2 linked regions of the Pelodiscus sinensis genome follow. The protein of the gene in region 2 purifies or fractionates together with the protein of the main gene of each other region. This does not show direct contact. Links are inferred from orthologs where the notes say so. Each region holds a gene or a part of one and is shown on either strand. Other genes may lie near its edges. The genes, in order: FNIP2 and FLCN.

Region 1 (3,912 bases), on a different chromosome or scaffold from region 2:
GCAAATCTACTTTGTTTAAGAGTTTGGTGGAAGAGAAAAACCCACCCACTCTTGCATCACAGATTTCTAAATTGTTGAGGAAGAATATTAATTGAGAATTTACACCGTTTTTCCTGAAGCTCTGTTACCTAAGGGTAAATCCTAATTTTCTACTTGCAACACACTAAAAAAAGTTCTATTAGTCCATTTCAACCTCATTTACAGAAGTGTTTAGAAAACAGTGATGCTTAATCAATTCTAAAGTATGTTTTCAGTTCCTCTTCAACATGTAATACAATCGTGGATATGCTTCAGTAGATAAATCTGTGTGCTCAGTTGGAAAATAGCTATTTACTTTTTGGTTTTGGTTTGTGTTCTGTTTTAATTGTTCTTTTTAATAATAGCTGGTCAGCTGTTTACAGTTACCTAGCTGCTAATGGGAACACAGACATCATACAAGGTCCACCAAGTATGAGGACTACTTTTGGACACCTGCTTAATATTGAAAGGCTAAGTTCCAATAGAGTTAACTTTAAGACAGTTGGAACCAAACAAAAATGTGGAGCTCTGATATACAGTGCACTAGGGTAAGCTTTAGGCAGATTAAAAATTGAAAGTGCTAAGTAGAAGCACATAACCCCAGTTTATGGAAGAGATGCTAGTATAATTAAAAGTTTTAGCAAAGAAATTCTATATTCGTAGTTTTCATATAGCACTTCTACAATTAATGTGACTAGCACTCTTCAAAATGTATTTGTGGTAACATGTTAGTAAAGGACATATTAAGAATTTTTTTTTTTAAAGAAATGCATGATTAAAAGTTGACTCATCAGGTTTCTTGTCAGAATTAGGTTAAAAAAAATCCTTCACTCTTCCAAAGCTGCTTTCTTAGACTTACTCAAATGTCTTCTTCTGTACATAAGAGAGGATTCACTTGGAGATAAGATGACCTCTTTTGCTTAGGGGAAAATTATGTTTGATTTTTTTAAAATCCCTATTTGATTTTTTGACATAGCACTTAATTACTATATTATTTTCCATGTGTGCACTGCTATAAAGGACAGGGTTTGTTTTTTTTAAAAGTTAACTACGAATGCACTGATAGTCGCTTTAGAAAATTTAAAAGATAGGTGAAGTGTAGCTAAAGATAAATTTGAGATGCCAATTAAATTATGCATATTTGTTTTAATAGTAATTACACATTAAAAATTGAAAAATTCACCCCTTACTGCAATCCAAATGATAACCGGAAAGTTGCAGATACCCAGAGGCTTTACCCAGCATACTGTTTTCAGATCATCAGTTCTTTGCAGAGATTAACAGAACTCTGATCTCAACAAAGCTAGTTTACATTCATAATAGCCAAAAGTATTCTGAAATCTATGTGCACACTCCAACTGAGCAACCCATTTGTTTAGATTTGAGAAGTATTTCAGTTTGCTTTAGTTGGAAAAGGAACAAGCTGATGTTTCAGTGCAGCAAATATTGAACGAGCTGTTGGTCTAGTGATGTTTTCTGAACGCATTTCAGTTATACTCAATATGATTATTAAATCCAGGTTGGAGGGCGAGACACATAATTTTGTTGTACAGTAGCAGAAGAAAACAATACTTGGAACTAGACCAACAGCTGGTTTAGTAATTACTGCAATGAAACATCATGTTGTAACTTTTCAAAATAAAGCAAACTGAAACACTTCCCAAAATTAACTAAAATTTTAACAAATCTCAACTTACCTGCTGTTACGGTCGGTGCTCTGTTCTGCTACCAAAGATTTTTTAGCCTTTTTATCTAATCCTGTGTTTGAGATATTATTTCCCAGTGGGCAAGAGGCATCATTACTTTTTCTTGCTAAGTCTGTTTGCCCGCCTGTGCTGTGTGCAGTTTTTGGAGTACCTCCACACATCTTTTTAGCGTAGATGTACTTTCCCAAAGGTTCTTGAAAATACTGAACGTAAGAGATAGGCTGTAGGGCTCAGCGTCCAGCAACCACAGACATTTCCTCACGGAGAAGAAATTTAACCAAGTCTTTTAAGCCATCCACGGGTTTCATTTTTAGAACAAGAGTAGCATGTTCCATCAGTAATTCTGGGAGACAGCTGCATCCAATGTAATATAGTATATTTATCCCAAATAAGACCACCACAAAGAACTCTGAAATTTTAAAGCCCATCCAAGTTTATCTCCTGCTTCTGTTGCTGGAGTTTTTCCACCCAGTGCAAAGCGGTCAGCAGATACAGCAGCTAATATTGATTTGAACTACCTTTGTTTCCTGGTATGTGATTATGTAGCTGGCAATTATTTATTTGGTCACAAGACCAAACCATATGGCCTCTGAAAGAAAGAGCATAGGTGATTTTGCACAGACTCACCCTTAGCTGCAAGGTTGTTCTAACACTGGCTGCAACACCCTCTTAATGGCTCTCATGTGAGCAAGTGTCATCTGACAACTCTTAGCAACCTCTTATGGCTCAGTACCATACTTCAAATGCAAATAAAAATCTGTCATCAATACCCTACAGTTATCAGTAAGGAATGATTAACACCAGCAAACACCCCAGAATTTTTGCACAGTAATGGTTTTACTCTGTAAACAGTCTATATTCATCTAAGAATCAAATGCAGCTTTAAAAAAGAAAAAAAAAAGCTTTTCCACAAAAGGCAAATCTGTTCACCCAATACAATTGATAGGTAATATCTTATGAATATGCAGGATGTAACTTTTCACTTTTACACTTGCTTAAAAATGTGTCCCTTAAAAACAAAATAAAATAAATCATAATAATAAATAAATACCAAATCAGAGTTGTTATAAATTAGTACAACTAAATTACTAACACCAAATTGGAGAAACCAATTAAGAACTTAAAAAAACCACAGACTTTTGTTTTACAGCAAATGAGTACCGAATCTCCTCAAGGGTACAGGCCAAGAGGACACAGCTTGTTTTCTACAAGATCAACTAACCTCATCCCTTTAAATAATTGTCCCTTCCAGCTTAAAAAAAAAAAAAAAAGGATTCCACATAAAAATCCCAAGCACCCAATACAAGATCACCAATTTCCACTGAAATATTTTGTAGTACTGGCTACAATAAAAACAAAACCCAAGTTCAGCATTCATAAAACCCTTTTCATCCACAGACCTGAAAGCTGGGTATTATCTCACTGGCAGCCCCCATCAGAACCTCCCACCCACTATAGATCAACACCTCCCACTCTGTTCCCATGCTTCCCACCCACCACATTCAGCTGTTTCACACAAGCGGGCAGGAGGCGAGGAGGGAGGGAAGAGGAGCAAGGATGCAGCATGCTCAAGGGAGGGGGCAGAAGAGGGGTGGGGCCTACAGCAGAGCCAGGGATCAAGCACCCTCAGCACTTTGCAAGATCAGCACCTACAGTTAAAGAAGAGTCCATTCTGGTCAACCCAGAGCAATTCACAAGTCAAACTGTACTGAACTCCATCTTCAGGCTCTGTCTCTGACTTCCTTAGTCAGTTCGCAGTGAAAGAACCAAGCTTATTCCAGAGTCCCCACTTACTCCCTCACTTCACCCCTCTCAGACTTTTGTTCTCAAGGGGGGGGGGGGGGGAAAGAGGTGTCTTCTCAGTTTCTCTATGGAGAGTGCCGCTCCAAGTGTTATTTGAGCTCCCGCTGCCTCTCCAGACCCCAAACTGATCTGGATTTAGGAGTCTTAAATTACTTTTCCTGCAGAGCTACAGTGAGTAGCAGCTGCCAGAGCCTGGCTTGAGCTCTCAAGCTACTTTCAACGCAGACCAGCAATGGTTAACTGTGTAACCGAGAAAATATTTGTCGGCTACATGGTTAGCAGATTACACGCAATTTAACATCCCTACTCCAGACACCTCTGATTAAATGTGAATGGCCATCATCTTGGATACATCAAGTTATTAACATTTTACCAGCCCAAAACT
Region 2 (3,912 bases):
GAGTAGACCCCCAAAGTGAACACCGGTTCTCTTCAGTAACAGATCAAATGAGAGGGGGACAAGGTGGGTGAAGTAATCTCATCTACTGGACACGTTGGTGAGAGACACGCCTTTGGACTACACATAGCTCTACTGCAGGTCTGGGAATGTATTCAGAGAGGCACAGCTAGGTGGAACAGATTAGTTACCTTGTATGCTAAATCACGCAAGATAGCATTCCAAGTGATCAGATAACGCAAGTTCAAAATTAACTCGTCATCGCTCTGAAAAGACGGACATTTTATATAAATGCCTTCTTTATGCATCAAAGAGCAGAGTCCGGTATTTTTTGTCCTTTGCAGTCATCTTTAAAAAATTCCTGCCAAATACTGAGACCCAGGGTCCTCTGGCCATGCATTCCATTTCCAACCCCTTCCAAGTTACAAGCCGTGGAGGAGGCCGATATCAGTGAAGCTGAGTTTTAGATTAGAAACAGCACAGATTTTTCTTGCTGAATTTCATATCACTTACCTCACAACTCAGGCTGCGGACACAAGCCTGACGCACAATGCTAAACAGCTGCGGATGGTTTGGGTGCTGGTGGCTGACATATTTGATCAATGTCTCTTTGTCATGGCTGACATATCCAGGGTGTCCTGCTGCAAGAGAGCGGCAACCCTGGCCACCGAAAGAAAAGAAAAATCTTACAGTAAAGTAAGAGACAACTATTTAATATACTTATATGTAGGCCCCGTTATCACAGCACCTGACTGACTAACAATCTTCAGCATAAGTATCCTCACAAGACCCAGTGAGGTAGGAAAGTATTTACAACGGGGAACTGAGGCACCAAGAGGCAGAGTGATTCACTCTAGATCAGGAAGTCTGCGGCGCAGTAGGGACTTGATCCATTCTCCCACCTCCTAACCATCCTTTCACTCTTACAGCCTCTTTCACAACTCACTTCCTCACTGGATTTTGTATTTGACAGGGGCTATGCAACTGGCCAAATTCAGCTAGTGGTAAAGCAACTGCGAACCCACTGACATATTGAAATCTGTCCCCACTAGAGAGACACGAAGCACACTAGGAATGGATTATTAGAGAGGGTACTAACGTTAAGTGGAAGAGCACCAAGGGGTACGGATGGACACACACAAAAACGTGGGCAAATACATTTAACTGGCTACAGAATTTGTTTCCATTTCCTGCGTTATACTTTTCTGTAAGTGTTGCTGTGCGTTCACTATGGCAAAGCAATTTCTCTCTCTCTCTCTCTCTCTCTCTCTCTCTCTCTCTCTCTCTCTCTCTCTCTCTCTCTCTCTAGATAGATAGATAGATAGATAGATAGATAGATAGATAGATAGATAAACATTTTTTTCCTGTGGGATGACAGAGTGAAGTCATCACGTCACTCTGCGTTGCCACGCGCCCAACTGCAACCCAGAACACACCCCGGAAACAGCCTCTTGCCACACTACCAGCTCTCATGGCAGGCTTCCCTACTGACCGGCCTCTTCGCCCGCAGCCCTATCGGCTGCAGCCCCTCCAGGCCCATACGTGGAGTTTATGAAGGCACTTCCCCATGGCGGTCCAAGTAAGTGTGAGGCTGGGGCGGTCATCGCTCCAGCCTCCTTTCCGTGCTCTGGATGGGGGGGTGGAAGCCACGAGCCTCTGCGCACGCCTTGGCCCGGACCCCCCAGCTGCTGGGGGAGAGCTGGTGCTAGTGCACCATGGCCTGGCCCTGTCTAGTGGCGGTGGGGAGAAAGGGCCAGGGCAGGTTGGGGTAGGAGAGGCGACAAAGAGCCTGGGGCAGGATAGGAGGGGCGACAAAGAGCCAGGGTGACAAAGAGCCGGGGCACCGGCAGCTGGGCTGGGCCCTCCCCTGCCGAGAGGGGATTTGGAGAGAGATGCAAGCAGGGGGCACAGCCCCCTAGTCTATAGTTTATTAGGGTTTCGAGATTCCGTGCAAGTATAAGCCATTTTCCGTGCCCCAAATAATAACACGCCCTTCATTGAGAAGCCATGGCCCATTCATTCAGCAAAGGACACAGGGTGCTCATATACACACCTCACACATATCTGACTTCTTCGGCCCTGGGCTACTGGAGTCAGCACTAGCACCTTCTGCTGGGCTGTGTGAGCGGATCCTACTGCTCATCTGAATGCCACCTTCTTCATCTTCTGCTTGCTCGCTCTGCCCAGGGCTGTCTCCATTCCCTGCGCCTTGCGGAAGCGGCGAATGCAGCACCTCTGTACAGAAGAGGGTGCGAGGGCCATGGAGCTCACAGAAATGACAGAGGGCGACGATGGCGTTCATAGCTGTAGCTTCACTCGCTCCTCGGCTCTCCTGCAGGTGAGGGAGGAAGCACCCCACATCAGTATAATGAACAGAAATCAACACATCCCCACGGCACCAGCTGCGATCTTCCCACTCAGGAGGAGCCGGGAATCAAGTTCAGCTCTGCAGAGCTCTAGGGTCAGTTCATTTCCTCCGGGGTCGCGCAGAGTACGAAGCCCAGCGCTCAGCGTGCCCTTTCTCTCCGTGCAAATGGGCAAGCGCAGGGCAGGATTTTCAGGCCTGGGCCCAGGGCAGGGGAGATCCAACCTCCTTCCCTCCAGCTTGGGCCTGACCTGACCTATCCCATGGAATCACCTGCCCTCCCCAGCAGAGACCTGGCCCAACACCTCCCATGGGGACTCCTGCACCCCCCACAGAGACACCCGCCTCCCACCTAGGACCTGCCTGACCCTCCCCCACGGGGACACCCCCCCACCTGGGACCTGCCTGATCCCCCACACAGGGACACCCCACCCCCCAAAACCTGATTCCCCCCAAAGACACCCCCTCACCTAGGACCTGCCTGACCCCCCCCCCCACTGGGACCTGCCTGATTTCCCCCCCCCACAGGGACACACCCCCCCACCTGGGACCTGCCTGACCCTCCCCCACGGGGACACCCCCCCCACCTGGGACCTGCCTGACCCTCCCCCACGGGACACACCCCCCACCTGGGACCTGCCTGACCCTCCCCCACGGGACACACCCCCCACCTGGGACCTGCCTGACCCTCCCCCACGGGACACCCCCCCCACCTGGGACCTGCCTGACACCCCCCCCGGGACACCCCCCCCCCCACCTAGGACCTGCCTGACCCCCCCCAGGGACACCCCCCCACTGGGACCTGCCTGACCCCCCCCCAGGGACACCCCCCCACCTAGGACCTGCCTGACCCCCCCCAGGACACCCCCCACCTGGGACCTGCCTGACCCCCCCCCAGGACACCCCCCACCTAGGACCTGCCTGGCCCCCCCCCAGGACACCCCCCACCTAGGACCTGCCTGCCCCCCCCCCAGGACACCCCCCACCTAGGACCTGCCTGACCCCCCCAGGACACCCCCCCACCTGGGACCTGCCTGATCCCCCCCCACGGGGACCCCCGCCCGCCAGCAGAGCCTTGGCCGACCCCGCAGCAGTGGCCCGGAGACCCCGGGGGGGGGGGGGCTGGTCACTCACCCGGCAGCTTCTCCAAGACCCCGCCCGTCCCGTGCCTCAGGGCGCCTGACACTGTCGGCCCGAACCAAAACCACCTCGGGGGGGGGGGAGCGATCCAGCGACCTGGCCTGCACCCCGCGCCCCCACCCGGAGGGAAGCAGAGTACACAGTGGGATCAGATTGTATCACTTCTCAGTCTCCCTCCCGCTCCTATGTGGCCAGGCGCAGCCCCTCCACTTTCCCCCGTTCCTCCCCCGCGCGTGTCAGTGGCTCAGTCCGAAGCTATCCCGACTCACTGGCAGTGGACTGAACCATTTCTTCAGGAGGGGGTGGAATTGTGCAGCCAGGGCCCTGCGTCTTTTCACGTCAGGTAGGACGGAGAGAAGATGGGGGCTGAGCCAGCCAAGGATGGGGATGCGCTGAGGGAGCAGCAGCCG

The links.
Region 1: the proteins of FLCN (region 2) and FNIP2 purify together in Homo sapiens (affinity purification with western blotting; 5 studies listed by BioGRID and IntAct, with this or other methods). This does not show direct contact. The link is inferred for Pelodiscus sinensis from reciprocal best matches to the Homo sapiens genes FLCN and FNIP2.

Annotation. Positions count from the first base shown.
Region 1 is NC_134715.1:59,662,386-59,666,297, reverse strand, and holds the start of FNIP2 (folliculin-interacting protein 2), read right to left. Parts: upstream 2,324-3,912; 5' UTR 1,886-2,323; coding exon 1,716-1,885; intron 1-1,715.
Region 2 is NC_134726.1:33,890,273-33,894,184, reverse strand, and holds the start of FLCN (folliculin), read right to left. Parts: upstream 2,300-3,912; coding exon 2,051-2,299; intron 658-2,050; coding exon 511-657; intron 1-510. UniProt on the Homo sapiens protein: Multi-functional protein, involved in both the cellular response to amino acid availability and in the regulation of glycolysis.